Linked DNA regions of Xenopus tropicalis. The protein of the gene in region 2 purifies or fractionates together with the protein of the main gene of each other region. This does not show direct contact. Links are inferred from orthologs where the notes say so. Each region holds a gene or a part of one and is shown on either strand. Other genes may lie near its edges.

Region 1 (3,656 bases), on a different chromosome or scaffold from region 2:
TTTGATATCAAATATAAAGACATGGATTGATCTTTGTTAAAATACTGCAACAGAAAAATGTATGAAAGAGTGAAAAGGGTGATTATTTATCAAGTAAATATAATTCACTCAGTAAAACATTGGACTGGCGGGATTACTATCTTTGGACCCTAGTAGTCACATTATAATAAATATCGGCTGCCTGTCTTGCTTATTTAACTTATAAGTAGCGTTGTGGGGGCATCAGTGTACCTTCTCTACTAAAGAAGGTCTAAAAAAAAAAATTCAATAATTTTGCAATTATGCCTATGCCTAATAGAAGCCAGCAATATAATATGTATAAAAAGAATTGTCTTTAAAGCGGGGAAGAATGTTACTCACCCATAGTAACGTAGGGAAGCTTGTCAGTGGATCCATGAGGGTAAATGCTGTACAGATGGGGCCCAGTACAGTCCACTCCACCCAGTACCAGCGCAGCACCAATATAACCTTGATACCTACAAGCAAAATACAATATTTTCAGATGCTGCAACAACAGACATTTCTTATGTTGAATTCTACTGTTGACTTTAAAGTGGGCTCGCTTCCTATGAAATATTCTAAATAGAATAAAACGAATCTTAAACCCCAAACAACCTCAGTTATGACCTACATATTTTGCATCTGTAAACTATTCCAACTGTGGACACCTTATACACTGTAAAACTTACATGAATATGTCTTAGTATAGTGCAGCTTGCACTTGTGGCAGCAAAAGGGTTGATCTCCCAACAGCGGATTCAACTAAACGAGATAGCAGCTTTGTCTTAATCTCATAATTTAAATAGTACAAAGCACTTTTCTGCTTGACACTCTTTCAAACTCACTAAAAACAAAGTATCCAAAGGAAGTGAATTGCGAAAGTTGGATATTTGACACTAAGCCAGAGGCAAATCCCCTGATCTCCCTTCCTTATATCTTTAAAATGATGTACACTCATCTGTTTCAAGCGGAGATGTGTGGTGCCTGCCTAGAGCGGCTGAACATTCCTTGCAGAATTAAACTGCTCCTCTGTTACACTGCATATAAATATTTCATGCTGGAGCTGCCATGCAGAGCCTTTCCCCCTGCTTACTTTGCCTTGTCAGACAAATGAACACAATGAGAAGCAATTCAATCTCAAATACAGACAATGCTACTAAATTCCAGCAAAGTGGAGCTTTGGAACAACAGCTGATGATAAGACAGACGCCAGGAAAATAGAAATGTTAGGGGTTGTCACTAAAAAGAATACGCATGGCTTGCATTTCAGCTCCCTTTGAACACTTCGGAAGCTACTGCCGCATGTAACTGCGAAGGGGGTGGCAAGCTCAGCTTGCAGTCTTTTAGCTATTATCAAACTATAACTCCCATCATCCTTAGTAGCTAGTGTAGGAGAAAAGCTGAACACTATTAATGTAATGTAATTAAACCCTATGCACAAGTATCTTATATACAGAATGACAACACAGGTATAGGACCCCTTATCCGGAAACCAGTTATCCAGAAAGTTCCGAATTCCATTATAAGCAAATAATTCTAATTTTAAAATATTATTTCCTTTTTCTCTGTGATGATTAAACAGTACCTTGTACTAGATCGCAACTAAGATGTAATTAATCCTTATTGGAGGCAAAACAATCCTATTGGGTTTATTCAATATTTAAATGATTTTTAGCAATTTAAGTAATGGAGATCCAAATCACAGAAAGATCCCTTTATCCGGAAAACCCCAGGCCCCAAGCATTCTGGATAACAGGTCCCATACCTGTACTAAGACCCAATTCCGAGGGTATGATACTTTTTTTTTTTTTTTTTTTTACTCTTATTGGCTCCTTAGACAGCAGAGAATCATACGATTTTTAGGGAAAATATAGGATTCCCAGAAAATTATGCATAGTACTTTAATACAATTGCTGCTAAAGAAAGTTTTCAAGACTATAGTTTATATATGTCTGTGTTAAGCCACGCCTCCCAAATGTTGTCACATATCTGCCCAAGGGTTATAGAAACACATGACACTGGAATGTATACCACTGTGGAGTCTAGAACCACACTCCCTGGCTGTGGTTTATATACCTTATGGATGGGAAAAACAGGTTCCCAGACCATGGTCAATATACCTTGGTGCTATGGAATGTTATATACGTGCCCTTTTTACATTTCTCTGTCATTTTTTTTTTTTAGTATAATCTTAAAGGCTCACCATTCACATTTACAGTAACAGAAACAAATATTGTTGAAGTAGAGAACACTAAGCACTGGTTTATTAAAGATTTGTTACCTCTCTTTGAAAAGAGCATGTATATGAAAGCATCATGGTATGTGTGGCTTGCTGCGTTAATATCATAGAGCTACATTTTTATCCAATGTACGCTTAGTATGGGGACTAAGGAAATCATAATCAGGGCTTCCATCTTCTACACCTTTAATACACTGAGTAAATATGCTTGGTACTATGAAAAATGCTTATATAAAAATTGTACAGGTGTGGGACCTGTTATCCAGAATGCTTGAATAAGAGGTCTTTATTTGGTCAACATGGCTTAAGCCTGCTAAAAAAGTATTGTTTTGTTTCAAATAAGGATTAAATTATATCTTATTTGGGATCAATTACCAATGTACTTGTTTTACAGAGACTTCATATTAAAAAATTGGAAATATTTGATTCAAATGGAGTCTATGGGAGATGGCCTTCCCGTTATTTGGAGCTTTCTGCATAACAAGTTTCAGGATAACAGGTCCTATACCTGTACTTAGGTAATGTGTGATGCAACATTTGGTTTCAAGTGTTAAAATCAACTGCCCCCAAAGTTTTTTTTTTTATCTGGTTTGAAAACTATTAGAAGAGGTAAGCTAGCCATTGGTTTTCTTTAATACAAGCTTTCAATCAAGAGTGTATGTAACAGATGCAAACTAGATAGGAACGACTGAACTTTAAGGACGTGCGTTTTTTGTTAACCACTATTACCTCCCTGCTAATGAATGACTCTCCCAGATCATATCACCCACACCATGGGATATTGTAAAGGAGAAAAATAAAAACTAAGTAAGCTTTATCAGAAAGGTCTATGTATATACAAAAGACAAGAAATCCTGTGTTTCTTTTGATAGAGAACTCAGTGCAGCTTTTCTGCGAGTGCTTATGGCTGTATTTACATAGACCTTTTTTGATAAAGCTTACCTTTCTTTCCCCTTTAAAGGGATTATTTACTTTTACCTTCACTTTTATTATAGAATACAATACCCAATTCCTAGCAACGTTGCAATTGGTCTTCAATGTGTATATGTTATAGATTTTGAATTCCCTTTGCTTTCCTGTTCTGCCTCTTGCCAGCTTTCAAACAGGGTTCACTAACCCCAGCAGCCAAAAACTATTTCTTTGTGAGGCTACAGTTTTATTGTTATTGTAACTTCCTATTACATATATTTTTTATGCAGGCGCTCTCCTACTCATATTCCCATCTCTCGTTGAATCCACTGCGTGGTTGCTAGGGTGCATAAGACAAGGCAACCAGATAGCTGCTAAAATTTCAAACTGGAGAAATGCTGAACAAACAGCTAAATAATGCACAAACTATACAAATCAAACAATTTAGACCAATTGAAAATTTTCTCAGAATATGCCTACATCATAATAAAAGTTAATTTAAAGGAGA
Region 2 (4,392 bases):
TCCTTTGCTTGCCATCTTATTCACTTTGCTAATCAGTGATAGCCCCAAAATGCTGGATCTTAATTTGACTTAATAAAAACTTGGGGCTAGGCCCAAGTTTGCAAATGCCTGTTGTGTGGTCTACTAGACTAGGAGGGCGTGCCATCTCCCAAAAGGGCTGAGCACCAGGCTTATTGCAGAAGGCCAGGGTGTGTTTGTGAGACCTAGGTGACATACAGTATAAAGCGGACCATACGCGCTAAGATCTGATTGTTTGGCGAGGTTGTCAAATAAGTGTATCTTTCACCACAATGCCAAACTTCAGGCATATCAGCGGATTCAAAAATTTTTTGGCCAGATAGTGGTTGGGCAGGTCTTTCGGATGGCATCATCCAAAAAGGCATCAGGCCAAAAAGCTGTAGATTCCAGAAGGACTGAAAGGACAGCTTTTGTTGGCCTGTATATGGCCACCTTAACTGCTACTCTAAGCTATCAAATGCATGTGAAAAAAAGGTGACTAAAACCTATTCAAAATGTAAGTAAATCAGTTTTCAAAAACTTATCTATTTTACTTCATTACTACATGGAATGGAAAGGTTTAATGGGCATTTAAAGTGGCAGTTTCCCCCTTGCTGTGTAAATGTTACTTTTCAACTTGACTGGCTGCCCCCATGACTACACAACTGTTTATGAATGAATGAGACATGTGCAGAATATATTTCTTGTTTTTTTCTTATTTTAATAAAATTTATATACATATATATATATACATATATATAGCGAACCCAGGGTGGCACTCTGCTTCAGCTCTTAGCTCGGGTGCAAGGTAAATGATTTAAATATCCAAAAAAGACCAGCAACACCGAGTTGTTATATTCCAAAAACAATCAATTGTGTATTAAAAACACATGAACAGCCAACGTTACGTTTCGGTCCCCATCGGGGCCTTGAGAAAGGTCCCGATGGGGACCGAAACGTAACGTTGGCTGTTCATGTGTTTTTAATACACAATTGATTGTTTTTGGAATATAACTCGGTGTTGCTGGTCTTTTTTGGATATATATATATATATATATATATATATACACATACATATATAATTTGTTGGCTGGTTGGTTCCTGGCAAGTACATCAATAGATTAACAGAGAAAACCATTCATATGACATTACATTTAACAGAGAGACTGTAACAGATAAGGAGGCTTGTTTCAGGCAATGTACACAGATGCACTGTACTTATAAACTATAAATATATAAAATCTAAACCTCTAATGCAGTTAGTTTCATACTTTCTTTGGTTCAAGTATGCCTTTGAGGCACAAAAGTTAGGATGCTTATCAAAAATCTTACTCGAATACCATTTAATTGGACTTTTGTATTCTTTATTAAAGTAAAAACTAATGCTCACCACATTACCTGGTCTTCAGGCAGGACCTCACATTCATTACTCTGGGATCCCCAAGGAGGGCCAGCCCAGTTTGAGGACCACTACTCCACTATACCAAAAAATAAAGAGCGCTTATCGGCCAATGACATGCAACACCTGTTGCAGATGGGCAAATGTTTTTGGAAAGCACTGTGCATGATATTAAGCTTGTGTTAAAAATGGTATTGTCATGAAAGAGGGTAATTATGTGCTGACAGTATCCCTTAAACATTGTCACTTTAATTCCAAAGGAAGAGGTGGTGACAAGAGACCCTCTGGGGATCCTAAATAATAATTTCAACAAATGTGTACAGTCTGTAGTGAGTTTAAGGGAGCCTGCAAAATAGGTTTGTTCTGTTACAACCATTTCTGGCATGTCTCAAAAAAATGACTGTACCCCTGCTACATATTTGAGAGGGGCTTAATGTCTTGCTTCTTTAATGTCTGCATACTTACCAACATGTTTCCAGCATTATGGGAATACATCATTATTGTGTGGTATGTTATATGCATTGTGCATCCCCTTGAAATGTATAAATACACACACACACACACATGTATATTATATACAAGACACTATAAATCGATCAGGGCCGATATTCAAAAATATGAATATCCAAAATGCACAACACTGACTTTATTTACTGCATAAAATGCCAGTTGTGCACTAATACTACTCCCACCACATTCATTAATAAACTGCTTTATGACCCCCTGCCAACTACATGACTACTCTAGCCACAAAGGAAGCTGGGAACGCAGGACATGCAATCCCTCAGATCGATAATGCAAACTCATCCAGCGCCCATAAACAACAGAGAGCAGCTTTGCCCCGGGCACCACGTGACTGTGGCGCCCCCCCTTCCCCAGCCAGGGTCACGTGCCCGGTATCTGCCTGTAAGGCGAGCTAGGGAGAAAGCTCCCACATTAGCGCGCCCCCTACCCACGTCCCAACTACTAGTTCGCGCAGGATACCCCAAAATAGACAAAGATTTCTCTAGCGCTCCTGCACGTTGATAAAGCCCTCTTGGCCAGTGTAAAAACAACCCCACCCCCCCGTTTTATGAGCAGCTGTTGTGCGACATTCAAATACTGTGTGCAAGGCCCCATAATGCTTAGTGGAACCCTGAGGCTGCAGACTTTACCGTCTCCTCTCCGTCGATGTCTATCTTAAATGTTTGCTGCTGAAGGGTCTTCAGAGTGATCTGCATGGCTGCTGTCGTATGCTGTCCCCAGCTCCGGCCTGATGTTCAGCCTGCTGCAGTGTGATAGAAGGCGCACTCCCCTCTCTAGACACGCAGTATATCCGACTCGGAGACGCTTTATCCGTGTTGGAAGTAAAGAAGACTCCTCCCCGTTACTCTTCTACAGTCCGCCGATCGCTAAATGTACGGCTATGAAGTACAGTGTCCAGCGCTTATTTCGCTGTCTCATTAGTACGGCCTGTCCGCCGCCATCGTGACTCCGCTGACTGGAGACGCGCGAGACTAGGAACTTGCGCGCCTGCGCCAGGGGGCGGGGCTACGGTGCGGCCGAGTGGGTGGGGCGTGCGGCTCTCAATGACAGCCATGAGCTGTCACTTCGTGCGGTGATGTCACTGCGCGTTCTGCGTTCAGGATTTTTTCTATTAGTAGAACTCGTTCCGGCCTCTAAGCTTACTAGGCAAATTGTGTCATGTCACTCACACACTGTGTGCACAGCATGAATCAGCAGTGAAGGAGCAGCGACTTACCGTAAGGTCGCAAACACCCAGACTTGTGTTACAAGGGCTGGGTAAAACAATGTTATTGATAAGGGTAACTAATAAAGAGAATATATCATAAATTAGAACATGTCATTACCTCCAGAGAGAGGTATTAGCAGAAACTGGTTTTGTGTTTCAATTTAACTCCAGATGAATGCAAATTTAAAGGAGACATATCCTATAAAAATGAAGAATGTACCAGGGAATTATACTCCTCTAGATATAGAAGGATTGTGCTTAAAAAAGTAGTGTTTCAGACTGATTTATTGAGAAATTCCACAAAACTCCCACTAACCCCGCCCATCTGTTCCACTTCTTGCTGGCTGAATTCTCTGGATGAGCCTTGGGGCCCTCAGTACCCTGCACTGTAGGATAGGAACCAATCAGCAACTAGGCTGACCTGATAGGGAACTGAAGTCTGTCTGTGCTTGTGTGAGTGCAGGGCTGTGATTGGCTCTCCCCCTCCTACTGTACTTCTGGCAGGGACCGTTAGGACACGCCCACTCTTCATTTCAAACTCAAACAGAGAAGTATGAAAAGTAAAATACTGAAACATGACCAGAAATTGATATATCTGCTTCCTAAACCTGTAGATGCAAAATAAGGATGTTATAAAAAGGTATGTGCTAGATTTTTATTTTTGTAATATGATAGAACCGGCACAGCATGCCTTGATGCTAGTTTTATTTCATGTAATACTGGAATTTAGGTAATGTGCTGACCCCATAATACCCAGCACCAGGACTGGACTGGGATTCAAAATAGACCCTTTCATTTCAAGTACATAGAGGCCCAAACAGCCCCCCCACCAGCACATTAAACCATTTATTAAACCACAATTTTTTTTTCAGAAAAATTCATATTTCTTCGAATTTTTAGAACTTTTCAGAATGACCACAATAATATTGTTAAAATAGTACGACTTTTTCATGGTTTTCAATAACTTCCACGAAAAAGTCGTATTTTTTGGAAAGACTGCGACCTTTTCGGAATTCATTCAATCTTCGGTATGGTGACTTTCTTTTGGCCAGGCTCATACCTCCCAACATTTGAAAACTGAAAAGAGAGGCAAAAAGATTTGGCACGCACAGCGCGGCAAATTTTTTTGACCATGCCCACTTTTGTGGCCACGCCCCAATTAACACACCCCATTTTTTTCTAAAAATACTCCTTTTATATAGTTGAAATGGCGGGATCAGATGCAAATGTGCTATACCCTCATACTGTACTACCTAAGGAAAAC

Evidence for each region. The genes of interacting proteins can lie anywhere in the genome.
Region 1: the proteins of rad23b (region 2) and psmb7 fractionate together in Homo sapiens (co-fractionation; 3 studies listed by BioGRID, with this or other methods). This does not show direct contact. The link is inferred for Xenopus tropicalis from reciprocal best matches to the Homo sapiens genes RAD23B and PSMB7.

What each region holds. Positions count from the first base shown.
Region 1 is NC_030684.2:29,140,261-29,143,916, reverse strand, and holds part of psmb7 (proteasome subunit beta type-7), read right to left. Parts: intron 477-3,656; coding exon 361-476; intron 1-360. UniProt on the Homo sapiens protein: Component of the 20S core proteasome complex involved in the proteolytic degradation of most intracellular proteins. This complex plays numerous essential roles within the cell by associating with different regulatory particles.
Region 2 is NC_030677.2:120,684,411-120,688,802, reverse strand, and holds the start of rad23b (UV excision repair protein RAD23 homolog B), read right to left. Parts: upstream 2,890-4,392; 5' UTR 2,617-2,889; coding exon 2,551-2,616; intron 1-2,550. UniProt on the Homo sapiens protein: Multiubiquitin chain receptor involved in modulation of proteasomal degradation. Binds to polyubiquitin chains.